Linked DNA regions of Notamacropus eugenii. The protein of the gene in region 1 interacts with the protein of each later gene in a biochemical or structural test. Links are inferred from orthologs where the notes say so. Each region holds a gene or a part of one and is shown on either strand. Other genes may lie near its edges.

What was found. The genes of interacting proteins can lie anywhere in the genome.
Region 2: the proteins of VDR (region 1) and HR form a complex in vitro, tested with the Homo sapiens proteins (2 studies listed by BioGRID and IntAct). The link is inferred for Notamacropus eugenii from reciprocal best matches to the Homo sapiens genes VDR and HR.

Annotation. Positions count from the first base shown.
Region 1 is NC_092874.1:219,605,626-219,616,071, reverse strand, and holds the start of VDR (vitamin D3 receptor), read left to right. Parts: upstream 1-5,708; 5' UTR 5,709-5,923; intron 5,924-7,002; 5' UTR 7,003-7,110; intron 7,111-10,446.
Region 2 is NC_092872.1:612,532,228-612,541,524, forward strand, and holds the start of HR (lysine-specific demethylase hairless), read left to right. Parts: upstream 1-5,180; 5' UTR 5,181-5,310; intron 5,311-6,932; exon of another isoform or gene 6,933-7,050; intron 7,051-7,739; 5' UTR 7,740-7,778; coding exon 7,779-8,384; intron 8,385-8,737; coding exon 8,738-9,297. Other genes in the region: protein HRURF, read left to right, coding at 5,076-5,180. UniProt on the Homo sapiens protein: Histone demethylase that specifically demethylates both mono- and dimethylated 'Lys-9' of histone H3. May act as a transcription regulator controlling hair biology (via targeting of collagens), neural activity, and cell cycle.

The sequences.
Region 1 (10,446 bases):
TCAAGTAAGAGAAGTAGAGCAAAAATTGAGAAGAGAAATGAGAGTGATGCAAGAAAATAATGAAAAACAAGTCAACTGCTTGCTAAAGGAGACCGCAAAAATGCTGAAGAAAACAACACCTTAAAAAATAGACTAACCCAAATGGCAAAAGAGAGCCAAAAAGCCAATGAGGAGAAGAATGCCCTAAAAAGCAGAATTGACCAGATGGAAGAGGAGATCCAAAAGCTCACTAAAGAAAATAATTCCCTAAAGATTAGAATGGAGCAGATGGAAGCTAATGACTATATGAAAAATCAGGAAATTATAAAACAAAACTAGAGGAATGAAAAATGGCAGAAAATGTGAAATGTCTCATTGCAAAAACAACTGACCTAGAAAATAGATCCAGGAGAGACAATTTAAAAATTATGGGACTACCTGAAAGCCATGATCAAAAAAAGAGCCTAGACATCATCTGTCATGAAATTATCAAGAAAAACTGCCCTGATGTTCTAGAACTGGAGGATAAACTAGATATTGAAAGAATTCACTAATCACCTCCTGAAAGAAATCTGAAAAGAAAAAACTTCTAGAAATACTGTAGCCAAATTCCTGAGTTCCCAGGTCAAGGAGAAAATATTGCAAGAAACCAGAAAGAAACAATTTGAGTATTGCGGAAATACAATCAGGATAATACAAGATCTAGCAGCTGCTACATTAAATGATTGAAGGACTTGGAATATGATGCTCCAAAAGTCAAAGGAACTAGGACTAAAACCAAGAATCACCTACCCAGCAAAACTGAGTATAATACTTCAGGGGAAAAAATGATCATTCAGTGAAATAGAGGACTTTCAAGCATTCCTGATGAAAAGATCAGAATTTTCAAATAGAAAATTTGACTTTCAAACACAAGAATCAAGAGAAACATAGAAAGGTAAACAGGAAAGAGAAATCATAAGGGACTTACTAAAGTTGAACTGTTTACATTTCTACATGGAAAGATAATATTTGTAACTCTTGAAACTTTTCTTAGTATTTGGGTAGTTGAAGGGATTATATACATATATATATATATATATATATATATATATATATATATATATATATATATATATATATATATATATATAGACAGAGGGCAAAGTGTGAGTTGAATAGGAAGAGATGATATCTAAAAAAATAAAAAGAACAGGTGAGAGAGGAATATATTGGGAGGAGAAAGGGAGAAATGGAATGGGGCCAATTATCTCTCATAAATGAGTCAAGAAAAAGCTTTTTCAATGGAGGGTAAAAGGGGAGAGGTGAGAGGGAAAAAGTGAAGCTTACTCTCATCACATTTGGCTTAAGGAGGGAATAAAATGCACACTCAATTTGATATGAAAATCTATCTTACACTACAAGAAAGTAGGGGAGAAGGGGATAAGTGGAGTGTGGGGGAATGATAGAAGGGAGGGCAAATGGGAGGAGGGAGTAATTAGAAGTAAATACTTTTGGGGAGGAACAAGGTCAAAAGAGAGAATAGAATAAATGGGGGGCAGGACAGGATGGAGGGAAATATATTTAGTCTTTCACAGCATGACTATTATGGAAAACTTTTGTATGTATATATACACATGTATAGCCTATATTGAATTGCTTGCCTTCTTAGTGGGGATGGGTGGAGAGGGAGGAAGGGAGAGAAGCTGGAATTCAAAATTTTAGAAATGAATGCTGAGAATTGTTTTTGCATGTAACTGGGAAATAAATACAGGTAATGGGGTATCTATCTTGGCTTACAAAAAAAGACAGAAGATGGGGATAAGGGAAGGGAGGTATGTGATAGAAGGGAGGGCAGATTGGGGGAAGGGGTAATCAGAATGCACGTTATCTTGGGGTGGGGGGAGGAGAGAGATGGGGAGAAAATTTGGACCTCAAAATCTTGTGGAAATGAATGTTGAAAACAAAAAATTAATTAATTAATTAATTAAAAACAAAAGAGAGAAAGAATAGATCGTCGACTTGAGCAGCCAACCAAAAAACATTTAGAAAAGTAACCAAAAAAGCCTTGCAACTATACACAAAGATAAAAATTCTGAAAGTCAAAGATATAAAATTGAAAACAAAAACTCCACTGAATTGATAATAAACTAGAAAATGAGCTTTAAAAGAATGATAAAATAGATAAACTGTTGGCTGATCTGATTTTTAAGAAAAGTGGACCAAATGAAAAATATCAGTAAGAAGAAATCACAACAAATGAATAACGGAAATTATTAGAAATTATTTTGCCTAATAGTAATGGAGTGAATGGGCAGCTAGGAGTCCATGTGGATTGAGGGCTGGGCCAGAAGTCAGGAAGACTGAGTTCAAATCTGGCCTCAGGCACTTACTAGCTATGTGACCCTGGCCAAGTCACTTAACCCTGTTTGCCTCCATTTCTTCATCTGTAAAATAAGCTGGAGAAAAGAATGGCAAACCACTCCAACACCTTTGCCAAAAAAACCCTAAATGGAGTCACAAAGAGTTGGACAGGAAATGACTGAACAACAAATTGAGTCAGTATTATCTGTGATGGGGAAATGCTGTAGGGGCCTTTCCAATAAGATCATGCTTGAGGCAAAAATGTTCATTATCACCTCTGGTATTTGACCCAGTACTAGTCATTTTAGGTATATTAACAAAACAAGAAAAGAAAATTTAGGCAATGAACATAGGCAAAAAAAGCACAATAATCACCTTTTTTTCCCTTAATTTTTCGCAAGGCTGCACGCCAGACTTCTCTAGCATTCTACCTTACCAGTTACCTTCTCCTCCCTCAAACCCATTTTTCAGATTCCTTTTACCTGTTGCCTTCCACCATTAGAATGTAAGTTCCTTACGAGTGGAGACTGTTTTCTTTCTTCTTTCTATCTGCATTTCCTGTACTTAGCACAGTGCCTGGCCCAGGGTAAGTCCTTAATAAATGCTTATTGACCGATGAGTGACTGACTGCCTATGAAATGATAGTTTACTAGAGAACCTTAAAAATTCAACTAATAATTAACTGAAACAATAATTTCAGCCAAGTGGGATATACAATAAACTCACATATATCACTGGAATTTGTGTATATGAGCAACAAAACCCAAAAGAAAAAGAGAAGGAAATGAAAATTCCATTCCTAATATCTATGCATAAGATATCTGGGAGTCCACATTATCAAGAAACACACAGGGATTATGTGACTCCAAAATTCTCTATAGAGAATTCTATGAAGATTTAAAGACAAACCTAAAAACTGAAGCTCATAGTTGGATAGCGTCAATGTAATAAAAATTACATTATCTAAATTAATTTACTTATTCAGTGCCATGCTAATCAAATTTTTTATTGTTGTTGACTCTTTGTGGCCTTTGCGGGGTTTTCTTGTCAAAGATACTAGAGTGATTTAATATTTCCTTCTCCATCTCCATTTATCAATAAGGAAACTGTCTAGTAAGTGTCTGAGACCAGATTTGAACCCAGTTAGATGAGTCTTCCCGACTCCAGGCCCTGTCCTCTATCCACTGCATTATGTATCTGTCTTCAGTATCAAAATACTAAAGGGTTACTTCATAGAACTAGAAAAATCACTAACAAAATTCATTAGAAGGAAAGATCAAGAACTTCAAGGGAAATAAAAAAGTCAAAAGGAAGGGAGCCTAGCAGCACCAGATCTTAAGCCATACTAGAAAACAATAATTATGAAAATTATTTGGTATTAGTTTAAAAAAACAGGAAGACTGATTGGTCAAACATGATACACCAAATCTAGAAGCAAACAAGCATAATAACACTGTGTTTGATAAACCCCTGGACTCCAAGTTCAGGACTTGCTAGTTGGCAAAAACTGCTCTGAAAACTAAAAACTGCCCAGCAGAAATTAGATTTAGGCCAACATCTGAAATCATATACCAGTATAAATTGCAAATGGACACATAACCTAGACATAAAAGGTCACATCATAAGGAGCAAGAAAGGAGATAGTATTCACTGTTATGGATGGAAGAAGATTTCTTGAGTAAATAATGAATGGAGAAAATCACAAGAAATAAAATGAATATTTTTTATCATATGAACTTTGAAAAGCTTCTGCACAAGCAAAATCAGTGCAATTTAAATGAGAAATGAAACAGTTAACTAGTAAAAAAAAAATTTGCAGAAAATTTCCCTCATAAAGTTCTAATGTCTCAGATATATAATAAATTGATTCAAATATGGAAGAAAAAGAGCCATTCCCCAAGAGATAAGGTTATAAACAGGCAATTTCCAAAAGCAGCAACCAATAATGATATGAAAAAACATTTGATATCACTAATATGAGAAGTGAAAATTAAAATAATTCTCATTAAATCAAATTAAAATACCCCATACTCAACAGATTCACAAAGATGACTAAAAAATGAAATTGAGCATTTTTGGAGGCGATTAGACTCATTAATGCAATGTGAATTGATCCAACCATTCTGGAAAGAAATATGGAATCATAACAACAAAAAAACACTATCCATCCCCTCTGATCCAGTGATAACATTGGGAGAAGACTGAAAAATCAGAGACTGCTAATTAGGTATTTTACATTTCACTTCCTCTTGACATTGTCCAAATACCCCCCCAGGATAAGTCTTCCAGGCTCAGCCCAGTCCAGTGAAGGTCTTCTCTGACGCAGCAGCTCCTGCAGCTGCCCATCAGCTCTAACCCCGGGGGACCCAAGTCCTCCAGAGCTCTAGAACTCCCACGGTGATGGATTAGAGGTGCCCAACGGAACACACACGTTCAGGCAAGGCCAATGGATTTGTTTTTCACTGGACCATGTTTATTTGTTATAAGGGAAGGCTTTGGGAAAGAGGGAGAGTAAGAAGGAGGTTAGTGATAGCGATGGCAAAAAAAAGGTGAAGAAAGTATGAATAACATATTTTTAAAAGCACAGAAGAGAACCGAAGGAGGTTCTGGAGGAGACGTAGATAAATAGGACAGCTTTGGAACTATCGATGAAATTTGTTGCGTACTTTTAAAAAGCTATATACATACATACTCTACAAAGCTATATATATATACTTCATATATAACACATCTTCCCCCCTTGTAATATGTGGAATTGTTAGTATTCGATGGTGTTAGGATAACAAAGTTAAGTTTTAGACTAACAAGTTCAGAGTAACAAAAACACTCAATTAAAATCCTGAAGTTAAGGAGCAGCATGCTTGCGCTGGCACTTGGGCCAGCCTCCAGAGGACGGTTTACACTGTCCTTTGTTTTCCTCTCCACAGCCGGTGGAAAGAACAGATCTAACCCCCATCTTCTGCACGACGCGCGCTGACAACCTTCCCAAGGCGCAGACCCATCCAGGTGTGGCGACGCACCTGGAGAGTGCTGCGGACTGTACCACTGTGAGGTGCAGGGGGGGGAGCTGTCCACAAAGTAACACAAAAAGGCCAGAACGGGCATCTTCAGAGTCACGGTGACTGAGACGACATAATACAGAGGGGGGGACTCCGTCTTGCTCCCAAAGCTTCGGGGATGCACGGAATAGGTTCCCCCGCACCCTCCACGGGAGAGTGACTGATTCGAAACTCAAGATGGTGTCGGAGCAGATTGAGCTCAGCCTGCCCCAGCCACTGGCTGGGGAGGACTGGGACCCAGGAGCCGGGCCAAAGTGATGGGGCGGGTCCGGAGGCAGGGTCAGAGCCAGGGGGCGGGGCCAGGTGCGGGGCTGTCTCTTCTTGTCAAAAGGCAGCCTCCCAGCTTGAGCGGTTCCGATCTCCCAGCGGGCGTGTGCCGGGGCCAGGTGCGGAGCAAGGACCGGGACTGGGCTCCGAGCCGGGACCGGGACCGAGACTGGGAGCGGGTTCGCGGTGGAGATCTCGAGATCTCGGGGACCGAGGAGGAGGGGGTGTACGCCTGCCAGTGTGTGCGCCCCTGGGCCACTGAGCGAGGCTGGGAGGTGAGGGCACCGTCTGAGCGCCAGGCTGTGGTGCCACGAGTCAGGCTGGACAGCGGGCTAGCTGGGAGAAAGAACGGAGTCCTGGGAGCCTTTGCCCAGCGAGGAAGTGGACTGTAGGCTTGAACTGACTGGGCTCCCAAGTCAACAAGCGAAAAAGCGTTCGAGTTGGAATTGGGGAGGCAGCGTGGGGTGCTTTTTGGGAGAGGGTCTGAAGGAAACTGATGACTATAGGGAGTCCTAGAGTCCATCTGGGCGCTTTTGATCTTTGTCCATTCCCCCGGGGAATCTTAAGACGCGCAAGAAGGGTCTCTAAGGCTCCTATCCTGTAGAGTTTCTTAAAGTAGAAGGTTCTACAACTATCATTATTGTACGGTGCCATTTAACGAAGGACGTGCCTCCAGAGTGCGCGTGTGGTCGAGGGGATGGGGAGCTTGGGGGGGCTGTAGAACGGCTCCTTTCAGTACCTCTGGGACAGTGTCAGAGTGCGGAGGGGACTCGGGAGCTGCTTCTGAGAGAGGGAAATGAGTTGAAGTGAGAAATTTCCGTGGGCGAATGAGTGAAAGCCATTTGGGAAAGTTTCTGTGAAGGAACTGCGTGTGGGGCTTGAGGGAGTTGTGAAGAGCGGGGTCTGCCCAGGGGAGAGGGTCTAGCCCTCTGGCTAATAGAAGATCAAGGACAAGGCCCTTGATACCTGGGGAATGAGTGGGGTGGAACAGGCAGGGTGCCCCCAGCCTAGCTGGGTCTGAGCCCTTCCTGGTCCTCCTCCTCCTTTTCTCTCCTCCTCCGTGCGGTGAGTGAGTCAGCCTCCTGTCTGGGCTCAGACACAGCCAGGGGGGCTAGAGCCTGGGTTAGATCTTCTTTGAGCTTTGCGGAAACACTCTTGGGCAGAGTTCAGTTCTGCCCCCAAATCATTGTTAGGTGGCTGTCTTCCATGAGGAGGTGAGTATGGGCTAGTTAGGGCAAAGAAACAGGCATTTCTAAGGAAGCAATGGCCCTAAGGTTTTCTGGGATGTTTCTGAAAGGAGCCAGGAGTGACCACCCCCAGGTGTGACTACATGTTTTTCCCATTTTTTTCTCAGGATTTGGTGGTGGGTCCTAGTACTCCAGAGCTGTCATTGAAATGGTCCAGCTTTTTCCTGCCTACCACCTCACCCCTGAGTGATCGCTTCAGCCGATGACCTCAGCCGGTAAGTTCAAAGTGCAGAGACAAGGGCTGTGCCTTTCACCAAATGAGTTTGGAGAAGGACAAAAGAGGGGTCATGCCTTGAGCTGGAAGAAGAGATCTGGACAGCCAGGCTTCTTCACCTTTACTCAGGGCTATCCATGAGAGGGGTGGAACTGGAACCCTTTACCCTCTTTGTTGTTGTTCTCGCTGCGCAAGTGTAAGAAATGACTTATTTCTTCTGGAGGAAAAATGACAAGATTGTGATATAGTCAGATTACCCTAGAGAGAGTAGTCCTTAAATATGTTTTTGGTCTTCTTTGGTAGAAGGGGATAGAGATCCCCCTAAGGGGATAATAGGGGCATCAGAGTTTCTTCTTTGGCCCCAGACCCTGCTGCTTCCCTTTTTCAATTCATTTGAGGAGAGGCCTTAATGCCTCATTGGGCTATGCGGATGACTCAGACTGTAGAAAGTTAGGAAATTTACAATCCATGTTTCAACCAGATCTCAGGCTTATGGGTTTGGTGAGTCTTTGGGTCACTAGTGGTGTGAACTTCTGGAGGAGACAAAACTTTGAGCCCTTCCAAGCCTCTAGTCTGGGAAGAGATTAAAGGGGAGAAGGGAGAAAGTCCAGTGGGTTTACTTCATTGGGACTGGATTTAGGTTGTTCTTTATTTGTGTAAGTAATGTGCAGGATTAAGATAATTTATTTCTTGGAATATTCTCACTTTGCCTTAGGATTGCTCTTTCCTTGATATCAAATCCTTTATAAAAATAAAGTGAAACTCTTGAACTCTCCCAAAGCACAAACCCAATGCTTCTCCAGGGCTAGACGTGTAAAATTTGGAGAATGATACTGGGCCAGAACAAGATAGTTCCATCCCCCCAAGGTAGAATGGAGTAGTACGCAGTTCATTAGCTTACTATGTTCTGTCCCATATTAACCCTTAGACCTAGATACTGGCCCAGGAGAGTTCTTCTAGAACCAATTCCAACAACCTCCTAGTTTGAGCAGGCTATTAACTTGGGTCCCTCTGAGCACAGAGTCAAAGAGTTAGGGGGACCTAGAAGTCTGAGCTGGGACAACAGTCTAGCTAATAATAACACTCCATATTTATGTAGTATGTAGTATTCTACATGTTATCTCTTGTGTTCCTATGAAGTAGATAGGACAGGTATTGTTGCCCTGTTCTGCAGATAAAGAAAAAGGCTCTTTAGTGATTTGTTCCAAGTTCGGTACTTTTTCTATTATATCAAGCATATTTTTGTTCTCCTGACAGCCACAGTATGGAAGAATTATGAGGCTTTATACTTGGGCCAGAACTGAACTGGTTTCTAAAGGCAGTAGAGAGTAGAGGACATGTCCTGAGAAACCTGAGGTCAAATTTTGGACAGTTACCATGGGACCTCAGACAAGTCACTTTATCTCTCTAAACCTCAGTTTCCTTATCTATAAAGTAGGTTTAAGTTATACTAACTACCCTGGAAAGAAAAGGCTTTGTAAACCTTAAAGCAATTTCTAAATATGAATTGTTGTTTCTTCCTCGAGCAATAAAGATTACTTTTCTAGGTAGTTTTCCCACTTGCTTCACTGGCCCACTCTCTTTCCCTCCCTTTGCATAGTATACATTTTTTCTTTTTAAATGTTCATGCTTTTTCTTTTCTTTATCACATTCACTCCCCAATGACTCCTCCCAATAGAATCATCCCTTGTAACAAAATGCTATCCTCTCCCTTTCCTTCTTTTTTTTTTTATTACTTCCCTAGTGGCTCTTGACATTTTCTTCATGCAGATAAATCTCATATTGTGTTTAGTTCTATAAAGTAACTACTTGTAGTTTGGTATGGTATTAAATTAAATATATAAATTAATTTAGATAATGTCACCATTTCTATTCTGTTAGGGTGGCCCAACCTTGAATAATAGATTTCTCTCTAATTATTTGTCTTCCTTATTATGGAGTCTGTTTTAGGGTTGTAATCATATAGCTCCTACCTGGAGAAAATCTCTTTTCCCTATGGGTTAGCTTCCCTTCTCTAAATTTCAAACTGTGCACTTATAGGCATAAATTAAATCATTGTTAATACTCATATACTTTAATAGAAGTATCAAACAGCATACAAATGCAGATGTAACAAGGTATAGCAGGCTATAATATGACTTGTAGCTGGAGGATAGAACTATCTTCTTCCTCTCCCTCCCCCCAGATTAGAGGGGTAAACAGGAAGAAATATATTCAGGCAGATTAAAGGATCAGGGTTTCCTCACAAGAGGGAAAGCAAACAGAATGTCCACTGGACTTAAATTTCTGTCACCAACCATATGCATTTGATGCTTTGTCCTCTGCTTATGCATTTGCTCCTGGCTCTATAACAGTGGGCTGATCATTACCTCCTTTCTATTCCTAATCTCCTCTTTTCTGCTACTCCCTGCCTTTATGAACAGGGGGGAGATTCTCTTACCCCAAGCTTTTCACCAGGGTTGTCAGGAGAAACATAGAACCAGATGTAGCCATTGTCCTTATCTCCATCTCTCTGTATCATTTCGTTGCCTGGATTCTCTGCCTCCCCACTTTTGCAAGGTCAAAAGCCATGGAAAGATATGGAATTTTGGGTAACATGTGGGCTAGACAAGGCTGCTCCCCCTCCCCCCCAATCTCCATGGTAATGGCTCTGTGGAAGGAGCAGTCAGTGCTAAGGATAAGTTGCATTCCGAAAGGAATTTATTTTTCTGTCTCTTTCTATAGGAAGTCTCTTTTATATCCTATTACTTTACTGAAGTTACTCATTATTTCACTTAATTTTTTCATTGACTCTGTAAAGTTCTCAAAATAAATTATCATGTAATTTGCAATTAGATAAAATTCTGTCAGTTCCTTTTATTTATCTTTCTTTTCATATCTCTATAGCTAGCATTTCTAGAAGTACATTAAATACTAGCAGTGACAGAGGACATCCTTGCTTTAGCCTGATCTTACTGGAAAGGCTTCCAGTGTTTGTCCCTTATAAATAATGCTAGCATTTGGTTTTAGATAGATACTATAACTGATGTATTTTGTCAAAGGCTTTTTCTGTATTTGTTGATAATAATTTCATGATATTTTATTGTTCTGTTACTAATGTAGTCTATTCTGTTTGTAGTTAGTGGTGAACCATCCCTTATATTTTTGAATCCAACGTGGTCGTATTGATTCCCGCATTCATTTGTCCATTGCCACTCATACTTTGCCAAACCCCAACCCATTTTTTGCTCCTATTCTTTCTCATGTGCTGCTGAATAGAACTGGAGGAAGTCATACAAGGATACTGTCTAGAACTAATACAAACTTATGTTACCTAATTTCAGCTGGGCCCTAAAGG
Region 2 (9,297 bases), on another chromosome or scaffold:
AACCCCCTGAGGGAAGGGTCCCATTCATATTCTTCAGCATAGCTGGCACACTTCTGAGCACATAGTAGGTACTCAATGAACATTTGTTGTTTGTACTCAGGTGTGTTGGAAACTTGGGCAGCTAGATGGTTCAGTGGATAGAGTGCTGGGCCTGGAATCAGAAGATTCCTCAGCCTGAGCTCAAATCTGGCTTCAGACACTTACTAGCTGTATGACCCTAGGCAAGTCACTTAACCCTGATTGCCTCAGTTTCCTCATCTTTAAGGTGAGCTGGAGAAGCAAATAGCAAACCATTCCAGTATCTTTGCCAAGAAAACCCCAAATGGGGTCACAAAGAGTCAGACTACTGAAAAAACCAAACAAAATTTCCAAGCCATGGAGCATCCTTTTGATCGTGCGTCAAATTGGAACTGATTTGGAGGATTGGCTACTCCAGTCTGGCTGTTCCTCCTAGAACAGGGGGCTTCTCTCTGTGTTTATAATTCTAGGCTGACCATTGATTAAGCCTTAATCCTCTGTCCAGAGGTGGTACCCTCTCCAGCTGGATCCCAATGGGATGGGTTTGCTACGTTAAGATAACAATTTTTTTGTCACTTCTTGAAGTATCTGTTAGGAAAGGAGATTTCTGGACTATGGGAGTGTGGATTAAATAACTTGATGGTTCCTCAAAGATCTCAGAGTCTAAGATTCTATCTATTCTATCTATTCAAACCTTGACTTTTTGTCCCACCGCTTGTCATGTTCTGTCTGACCTCTGGGGTGGAATGAAGAGGGTCATGCAGGATTTTCGGGACTGACAAGTACACAAGGGGGAACTCAAACTGTCCAAAGGACTCAGGGCCTTATCTACACCCACACTTCACACTCCCCTATCTCCTAATGATCACTCAGTCCATCTCACAGAATTACAGATTTTTGGAGCTGGAAGAAAACTCAGTGGTCATCTAGTAGAACCCATACAGGAACATCTCTGCAATAACCACTAAAAGTGGTCATCTCACCTTTGACAGAAAACACCTCAAAAAAGGAAACAGCTACTTCCCAAGGCAGCACATTCTTCTAGATCTTGGAGAGTTCTTAATTGTTAGGAAGTTTTTCCTTAAAGCAAGCCTAGATCTGTCTCTCTAAAACTTCCCCCCACTGCTTCTCATTGTGCCCTCTGGGGCCAAGCAGAAACACAACTAATCACTCTTCTGCATTACACTCCTTCCTCTGTCATGTCCATCTCTGACCCAGCCTGGATCCCAGTGACCAGAGCTGGGCCTCTGGCTCCATTTTAGACCTCCCAAGAGCATGCAGCCACCCACTCACCTTCTTTTCTCAATCCATCCCTTCTGACAAGGAAGTCCACCTTACCTTCCTCCCTACTTTGGTCTCTTCTGTTCTCTCTCTTGCTCCCCTTCTACCTCTCATTCTCCCTTTCCAGTATTTCTTCTCCTCTGTCTCCATCACTCCTTCCTCCCCCCCTACCCCGACATCTCCTATCAGCTTCTTATGTCAGTCTTTTCCTTTCCTCTCAATCACCACTTCCCTTTTTCTTAAGTCTCAGTTTCCCTCCTCCCCACTCCCCCCACCCTCTGTCTCTGCCCTCCATGTGCACAGCACACACATGGCCCTGTTGCTGTATTTTTAGATGCCAGTTTCAGCAACGTAATTAGCCTCTTGTTTCAACACAGTCTTGGCCCTGGCCAGGGCCAGGTTGTCCTGGCTGGCACTGCCCCACCCTGGGTGGGGGGGAGGGGGAAGGAAAGGGGAGGAGATGAGAATTCAGTCCCTTCCCCCTACTCAACCCCTAGGGTCAGAGCTTCCAACAGCTGACCACAAATGACAGGGCCCCAAAGTGCAGCCACAGAGATGCCCACTGCTAGGGGTGTGGTTGGGGGGGGGGGAGCCTGGTCCAGAGGCTCTTTTGCTCGACTCATAGAGAGTTCGGGTACTCAAAGTGGTTGGTTAGTATAAGGTGAAGCAGCCCTGAATTAAGGGCATCCTGGAGGCAGCTCCCTCTCCCTCAATTCAACAGACATTTATTAAATGACTTACTATCTGAGGGTGGTTAGAGTTTTTGTTTAGGTGGGGAGAGGGTTATGATTAGGAAGAGGAAGCGAAATCATGTTAGGGAGGTGGGTGAGTGGGTGAGAGAGGAGAGTTGTCTGCCACAGAGCTTTTCTTCAGCATTAAACTCATCTTCTGACAAACCCCTCCCTCCCCATGACCCATTTCTTCTCCCCCACCCCCACCCCCACCCAGATCCTTAGGGGCTCCGATGGTATTAACCCCCAACACTCCCCACCACAGGGGAGGCAGCCAGCCCCAGCTATCTGTGGGATGGAGGGGCTGGGGAAGTAGGGCTAGGTGCCCAGACAGCCGCATGTGTAGGAGGGGATGTCCTCGGATGCCCTCCACCCGGCAGTCCCAGCTCTGACGTGGGTGCCCCCCCCTTCCCTGCCCAGATTAGTGGCAGCTTGGCCTGGCTGTCCGGGGCTGCCCTCCCCCGGTCTGGGGGCTGCTCCAGTGGAGGGAGGCCTGGCTGGCCTGCCCAGGTAAGGGACTCTGGGGAAAGGGGTGAAGGTGGGTGGAGCTCCCAAATGCCCGTATGTTTGTTTGTGTTTGTGCTTGTCTGTGTGGGGGTTGGTTCAGGTCTGCGTCTGGGCACGCCTATGTTTTGGGTATTGGTCGGCTTGCCTTTGTATGTGTGTCCATTTGTGTATCACTTTTTCCTGTGTGTATTTGCGGCCTTTGTGTGTATTCCCACAGTGTTGCTCCACTCTCGGCGAAGAGGTGCTGACTGAAAGGCCATGGGCTTTGGTGCTGGCCTTGGAAAGCTAGATTGGAAGCCAGGATAGGGGTGGGTGAGGCTGTGGAGGGGACTCTCACATTGCCCCCACTTCCCAGGTTCTCTGAGAGCTTATGCTGGGAACAATTACCCAAATCAGGGTAAAGATGAGTCACAGACCTTGAGGAAAACTACCTGGTCTGTCACCCAAGGGGGCCTGACCTCACCCACATCCAGACTTGGAGAAGTGGGGCTTGGGACTTGAGTCTTGCCAAGGGTCCTTAGTCTCCCAAGGCCTAAGCCATAGGTTTTCCCTGCTGGCACTCTCTTCTAGCCTGCTGGCTGCTGGCTGGGGGACACCAAGAGAAGATGGATGTTACAATCCTACCAAGTACCCCTGGCCACATAGTGCCACCCTCTTGCACTCCCTGAAGCTAATCTCAGGACATATATTAGTGGGGTGGGGTGGGAGTCAGGAATAGAGGTTCTGATCTCTCCCATCTTCCAGGTAGGCCAGGCCCAAGCCAATATGGAAGGAGAGGGAGTTACCACCAGACATGGAGGCTATAAAACTGGATGTTAATAAACCATAGGCTCTGAATGGTCCCAGTTCCCCCTGGAACTCTTTTCTCTGCCCAAGCCCCACTCTATCCCTCAATCCTCCAACTTTTTCCCTCTCCTGTCTCTCACAAGTCCTTATTAGGTCATCTTCTTTCTGACTTGGATCTCCACTGATGGTAGCATGTCTCAGGGGTCCAGGGAAGGAAGGAACCATTCTCCCTTTCTTCTTCTTCCCTCTCACTGGAATTAATGACAGTAGCTAGCTTTGTGGATCAGGGATAGGTCCTAACACTGCGTTGGTTCCAGACTAGATAGAGGGCTGCACTCTCCAGATCCTGACTTAAGAGAGTAAGGGATGGGTGATAGATGCCCAGGTGAAGGGAAACACCTATTGAGCTTGTGTATGTGTATAAATCTGTCTGGCTGTCTGCGAACCTGGTTATGCTTCTTGAACCACCCCCACAGAGGAACCTTGGTGCTTCCTTGGGTGGAAGGGTACCTCACTTTCCCATTTCCTCTCCCACTCTTGGGTCCCTCCCTCTGGGCCACTCCCATCAACTGCTTTCCTGTATCGGTGCTAGAAGCCCTGGGAAAACTGGGTAGTAGAATAGAATCATAGGATGCCAGAGCTAGAAAGGACCTCAGAGAGCATCTACTCTAAACTCCATCGTTTTACAGATGAGGAAACAGACTCAGGGAGAGGTTATGTGGTGCTTCAAGTAGTTAATAGCTGGGTCTGGCTAAGAGAGAGAGTGTTAAGGAGTAAGGAGTGGGGGTTACGATGGAAAGGTGCAAAGGGAAAAAAGGGGAAAGGGATACATACATCTATGTGAGATAGACCCATCCCTCCATGGCACAGAGCAGATGTTTCCCATCCTTGACCCCATGACAACCTGACTGCTACTGCCAGCAATGACACTGCCCCTTCCTTTCATGCCCTACCCTGGAGGGGGGGAGCCCCACCCCATGAATCCTGCCCAGCCCCTCCCGCCCTTTGCTCTATTTCCCCAGCTTGGCACCTACTAGCGGGGTGCTGCCCGCCTGCCAGGCTCCGGGCCGGCCCACGGGAGGGTGGGGCCGCTGGGAAGCTGGCACGTTGCCCTAGGGGAGCCTCTCTCAGCAGGCGCCCGGGTGCCGCTGATGTGGGGGGAAGGGGGGAAACAAAGGACTCATTCTCTGGGTGCACAGCCGGTGGCATCGCAGGGGCGTTGGCGGAAGCCCCGGGGGGCCAGGAGGGGGCAGGCCTGGGCGGGGCTGAGGAATCACGGGCTCCTGTTCCCCCCGGGGTGCAGGAGGAGTAAACCAGCGGAGCAGCTTTTCGGCTCCCCAGTTGCGCGTCCGGCGATGGCGATAGGAGGTCCCGCTGCGCTCTCCGTGCCGCTTGGTCTACACTAGACGCGCAGCGCTGCGCTCACTTGGTGCCACCTTCCAGGGCACCCCGATCGCCCCCCCCCAACGACCCCTTCCCCTGGCCTCTCGGCCGCGTCCCCCCCACTCTACCTTTTCCAATCCGGGGCGCTTTTTCCCCCGGTCCAGCTTACTCTCCCCTCGGGGAGCCCGTTCCCCCCAGCCCAGCTCATTCTCCCTCCGGGGAGCCCTCTCCCCCGTCTCCGCCCAGTTCACTTTCCCTCCGGGGGCGTCCGCTCCCCCGGCCCAGCTCCTTCCATCCCCGGGGCACCCGCTCCCCAACCCCGACCCGTCCCGGATCACCCAGAGGCGCAGCACGGAGTCTCGGCGGCCCATGGCGCAGCCCACAACCTCAGCCCAGAAGCTGGTGCGGCCCATCCGCGCAGTGTGCCGCATCCTGCAGATCCCGGAGTCTGACCCCTCCAACCTGCGGCCCTAGAGCGCCCCCGACGCCCGGGGGAGAGAGGGGGTGAGAGGAGCTCGCAGGCCCCAGAGGTGGCTCATGGGGAGGGCGCGTCCAGCGCTAGCCAGGACCCCCGCTGCCTTCGCGCCAGGCCCCAGCAGCACAGGTGAGTACTAACAGTGGGACTGAGGAGAGCACGGGCATCTGGGATCCGAGAGAGTACTAAACCGATTGGTCAAATTGTCTTGGACCCATGTGCATCTGCATAAAGTTGTTCGTCCCTGGGGCAGCATTCCCACTTTAGATCGGCCCCCTAGAAAACCAAGGAGTCCTGTTTCTTAAGTTCCAACTCTTTTTTACTCCTTTCCTTTTTGTTTCTGTGGCACTGGGACCCCTAGACTGGATGGCGCAGAATTCCCCTGAGAAACAGTGCCAGCCCTGTGTCACGTCACGCTGTCATGCTAGTTTCAGTGACACCTGTCACACCAGTCTTGGTAGTTCCCTGCTCTGCTTGGGAGTTTCCCTCTTTTCCCTGCCCCTCTGTCTCTGGCTAAGGGCTTCTCTCCCTGGCTCTTTCTCTTCTAAGGGACACTATTACTCCCTGGAGTTAGGAAGACCTCACCTAAATCAACAAGGATGCCTCTTAATTCCTATTCACTTTAGGGTCTCTCCATGGAGATGTCTCAGCTTTTGCCAGGAGCAAGGACTCATCTGAGCCCAGGGGGAGAGTTCAGACCCCACCAGCTGTTCTGGGCTCCTTGGGGGAGCTAAATAGGATAATCTTAGAGGACCAAGAAGAGGCAGAGTTTTGAGAGTTGCCAAAGTAATGCCCTCAGCCTTAGGGTGCATTCGTCCCTAGTAACTTTTTTTTTTAACCAGATATATACTCTTTTCACCCTGGGAGGCTAGAATGGGACGATTGTAACAGAGCTAACTCTGTTTTCCAGTCTGTAAGATGAGGGAGTTAGAGGAGGTAACCTCTGAGGTTCTTTGCATTTTTTAATATTGTGCTGTAGTCATAACTCATAAGTTCAAGATTTCAAAGGTGAATGAGACCTTATAGACTATTTTGTTAAATTTCCTTAACCCAGAGAAAGAAATTGAAAGTCACACATTTAATAAGATTCCAGAGCCTGGACCCTAATCTTCTGACTTCCAGTCTTATAGTTTTCCACAAAGGTTTCCAGACATTTCTTCCGGGTTCTCATTTTCTCTTCTTTAATATGCTGGTGGAGAGGAAGTCCTAGGTTCTATCTCCTGGTGGTCTAGTGAAAATAACACTAAATTTAGTAAAGGGCTTCCGAGGTAGGTTTGAATCCAGGCTTTGCTCCTCACTAACCCATGTTCCCTTGGGCAAGCCATTTATTTAAACCTCTCTGAAGCTCAGTTCCTTCCTCTGTACAATGATGTGGTCAGATTAGATGTTTTCCACTTTCAGATCTATGCTTTTGTGTCCTCCACCCCTTCTTAAATCATGTGGGACTGAAGAGCTTTGCCCAATTCAATCTAATCCCAATTCAATCTAAGAAGCATTTATAAAATGTGGATTAGGTGTAAGGCACCATGTTAAGTGATGGGGGTACAAAGATAAAGATGAAACTGTTCTGCCATTTATCCTTTAACAGCTAAGTGCATAAATGGAGATTTGAGGAGGGAGAGATTGTCAATGACGAAGGGGGCCAGGAAAGGCTCCCCATGGTAGGTAACACATAAGATGAGTCTTGAATAAACCTTAGGATTCTAAGAGAAGAAGGTGAGGAGGGAGTGAATTCCAGTGAAGGGGCACAGCCTGTTCAAAGTCATGGAGGCCGGAGATGGAATCCTGAGTTTGGGGAACAGCGAGTAGACCAGTTTGGCTGGAACAGAGAGTTCATGAAGGGGCGTAACGTGAAATAAGCCTGGAAAGGTAGGCTGGAACCAGACTGGAAATGGTTACAAAGACTAAGCTGAGGAGTTTTGAATTTTATCCTAGAGGCAATAGGAAATCATTGGAGATCCTTTGAGCAGAGGGAAATGACATGGTCATAAGCCAACTTTTTATGTATGATGTTACATATTAGTTTAAGATATTTATGTTTATAGGCTATTTTCCACCAACCATGACTGCATACTAATAAATATGGAATAGGCAGTTGAATATTATAAAAATCAAGCTGTCTTTCAACCAAGCTAAAATAACCCATATCATTAATGAATTATATTTCTGTTTACTGATGTTCTAGTCAAATGAAATTGATGCTACAAATATTTAAAGATGTTAAGAGATACAAAAACAATAATAAAAAGATCCTCCAACTCCACTCCTATTCCTACTGAGGTTCCCTGGCTTTGGTGGAATATGACAGGGAGTAGGGGGAGGGTCGGGGAGGATGGGGAGGAATAGTGTTGCTTCTTTAGAGTGGGGGCATCAACAGGTCCAGGGTGGGAAACTTAGGGCACTCTGTGGGCAGGCAACTTGGTGCCCAGTCATTGGCTTGTACTTGCCTTACCGGTTTGTGCTGCCTCGATGCCGCCAGGGTGGGGCTGTCTTTGTACCAGGCAGCAGGGATGCCCAGGCAATGCACCTGAGTCCATGCTTTGTTGGTTTCATCACAGGGAGTCCCTTTGTGAGAGCCCCATGAGGGCAGAGGCATCATGGAAAGCACACCCAGCTACCTGCAAGACGCCCCCACCTGGGAAAAGCCAGCATCAGAGAATGGCATCAGACAGGAGCCAGGCACTTTGCCACGGGGTCCACACCATGGGCCACTGTGCCTGGGGGAGTCTGCTCCCTTTTGGAGAGGGACCCTGAGCCCCCCAGACTCTTGGTTTCCACATGGCTTACCCCATGGCTCAAATGACCCACTTCCATTCTTGGGGGGTGAGGGACCCCGTAATGGTGAAGGAAAGGCTAGCTGGTTGGGGGCCAAAGAGGGGCTGCGATGGAAGGAAGCAATGCTAGCCCACCAGCTGGCACTCTGTGGGCAGCCATGCCCACCCCGTCATAACCTCCTGCCCCCAGAGCAAGGTGGCAGCCACCCCAAGAATGATCCATTGGCTTTCCGGCCCTTACATTGCCCCTTTCTTCTGGAGACCAAGATCCTAGAGAGGACCCCTTTCTGGGTACCCACCTGCCTGCCTCCTTACTTGGTGCCCAGCCAGCCCCACGATCGGCCTTCTGATTGGCCCCTAGCTCCTTATCCTTGGGCATACCTGGGGGCCCAGCCCAAGAGTCCTCCCGCTTTCAACTCAGGAAGCAAGGTAAGGACTTGAAAGTGTTGAGAATACCCAGAGGGAACTGAAACTGGGGAGGCTGTAAAGAAGGAAAGAAACAATTGATTCTCTTGGCTCAGTGGAAACTCTTCAGAAGAATTCCATTCAATTCAACAAGTCTTTATTAAGTGTCCTACCTTCCCATCCAAGCACCAGATTAGAGGACATAAAGACTGGGTTTTTTAACTGAAAGACCTAGCCTGGGACCCCAGGATCAGTTTCAAGTTAACTGTCCTCCATAGACCATTCCTTCATTTCCCCCTGTCCACTCATCCCTGTTCCATCCTTCTCTATTACGAGCCAAAGCCAGTGCACAGCTTACCCCTTTCTTCTCCCTTTAGGGCTTTTATCACAAAGATCTAGGCATACCTCGCCTGGCAAAAGAGATGCTGACCACTGCTGAACCTGGGTTGTTGGGCGTAGCCCCTGGTGGGCATCTTCAGAGAGCTGGGGAGATGGATCGGTCCCTATCCTACCAAAAGGATGGGGAGTCAGGAGCCAATGGGCACCAGAACCTTTGTCCACTTCTTGGGGGGTGCCCAGATATAATCAGCAGCCAGACAGTCTGGCCTGCTCATCCCCCAGGCTTGGTTCATACTCTCAGCAGTTCCTGGGTAGTGCCTCGAAATGGGAACCTCAGAAACTCCCAGCCAGGGCCACCCTCTGGGTCAGAGTGCTCTTCACCAGGGCAATCTGTCAATCAGATGGGCTGCTGTACATCCCATCTACCTGCTGGAGATGGGAGTCTTAGCCACTGTGGAAAGTGCCAGGCAGGCACAGAAGGTGGTACTACTGGGACAGCTGGGTCCACTGAAGAAGTTGGCAAGCATCCTGGGCCAGAGGCCTGCCCCCCAAGCCACCATACCAAGTTAAAGAAGACCTGGCTCACTCGGCATTCTGA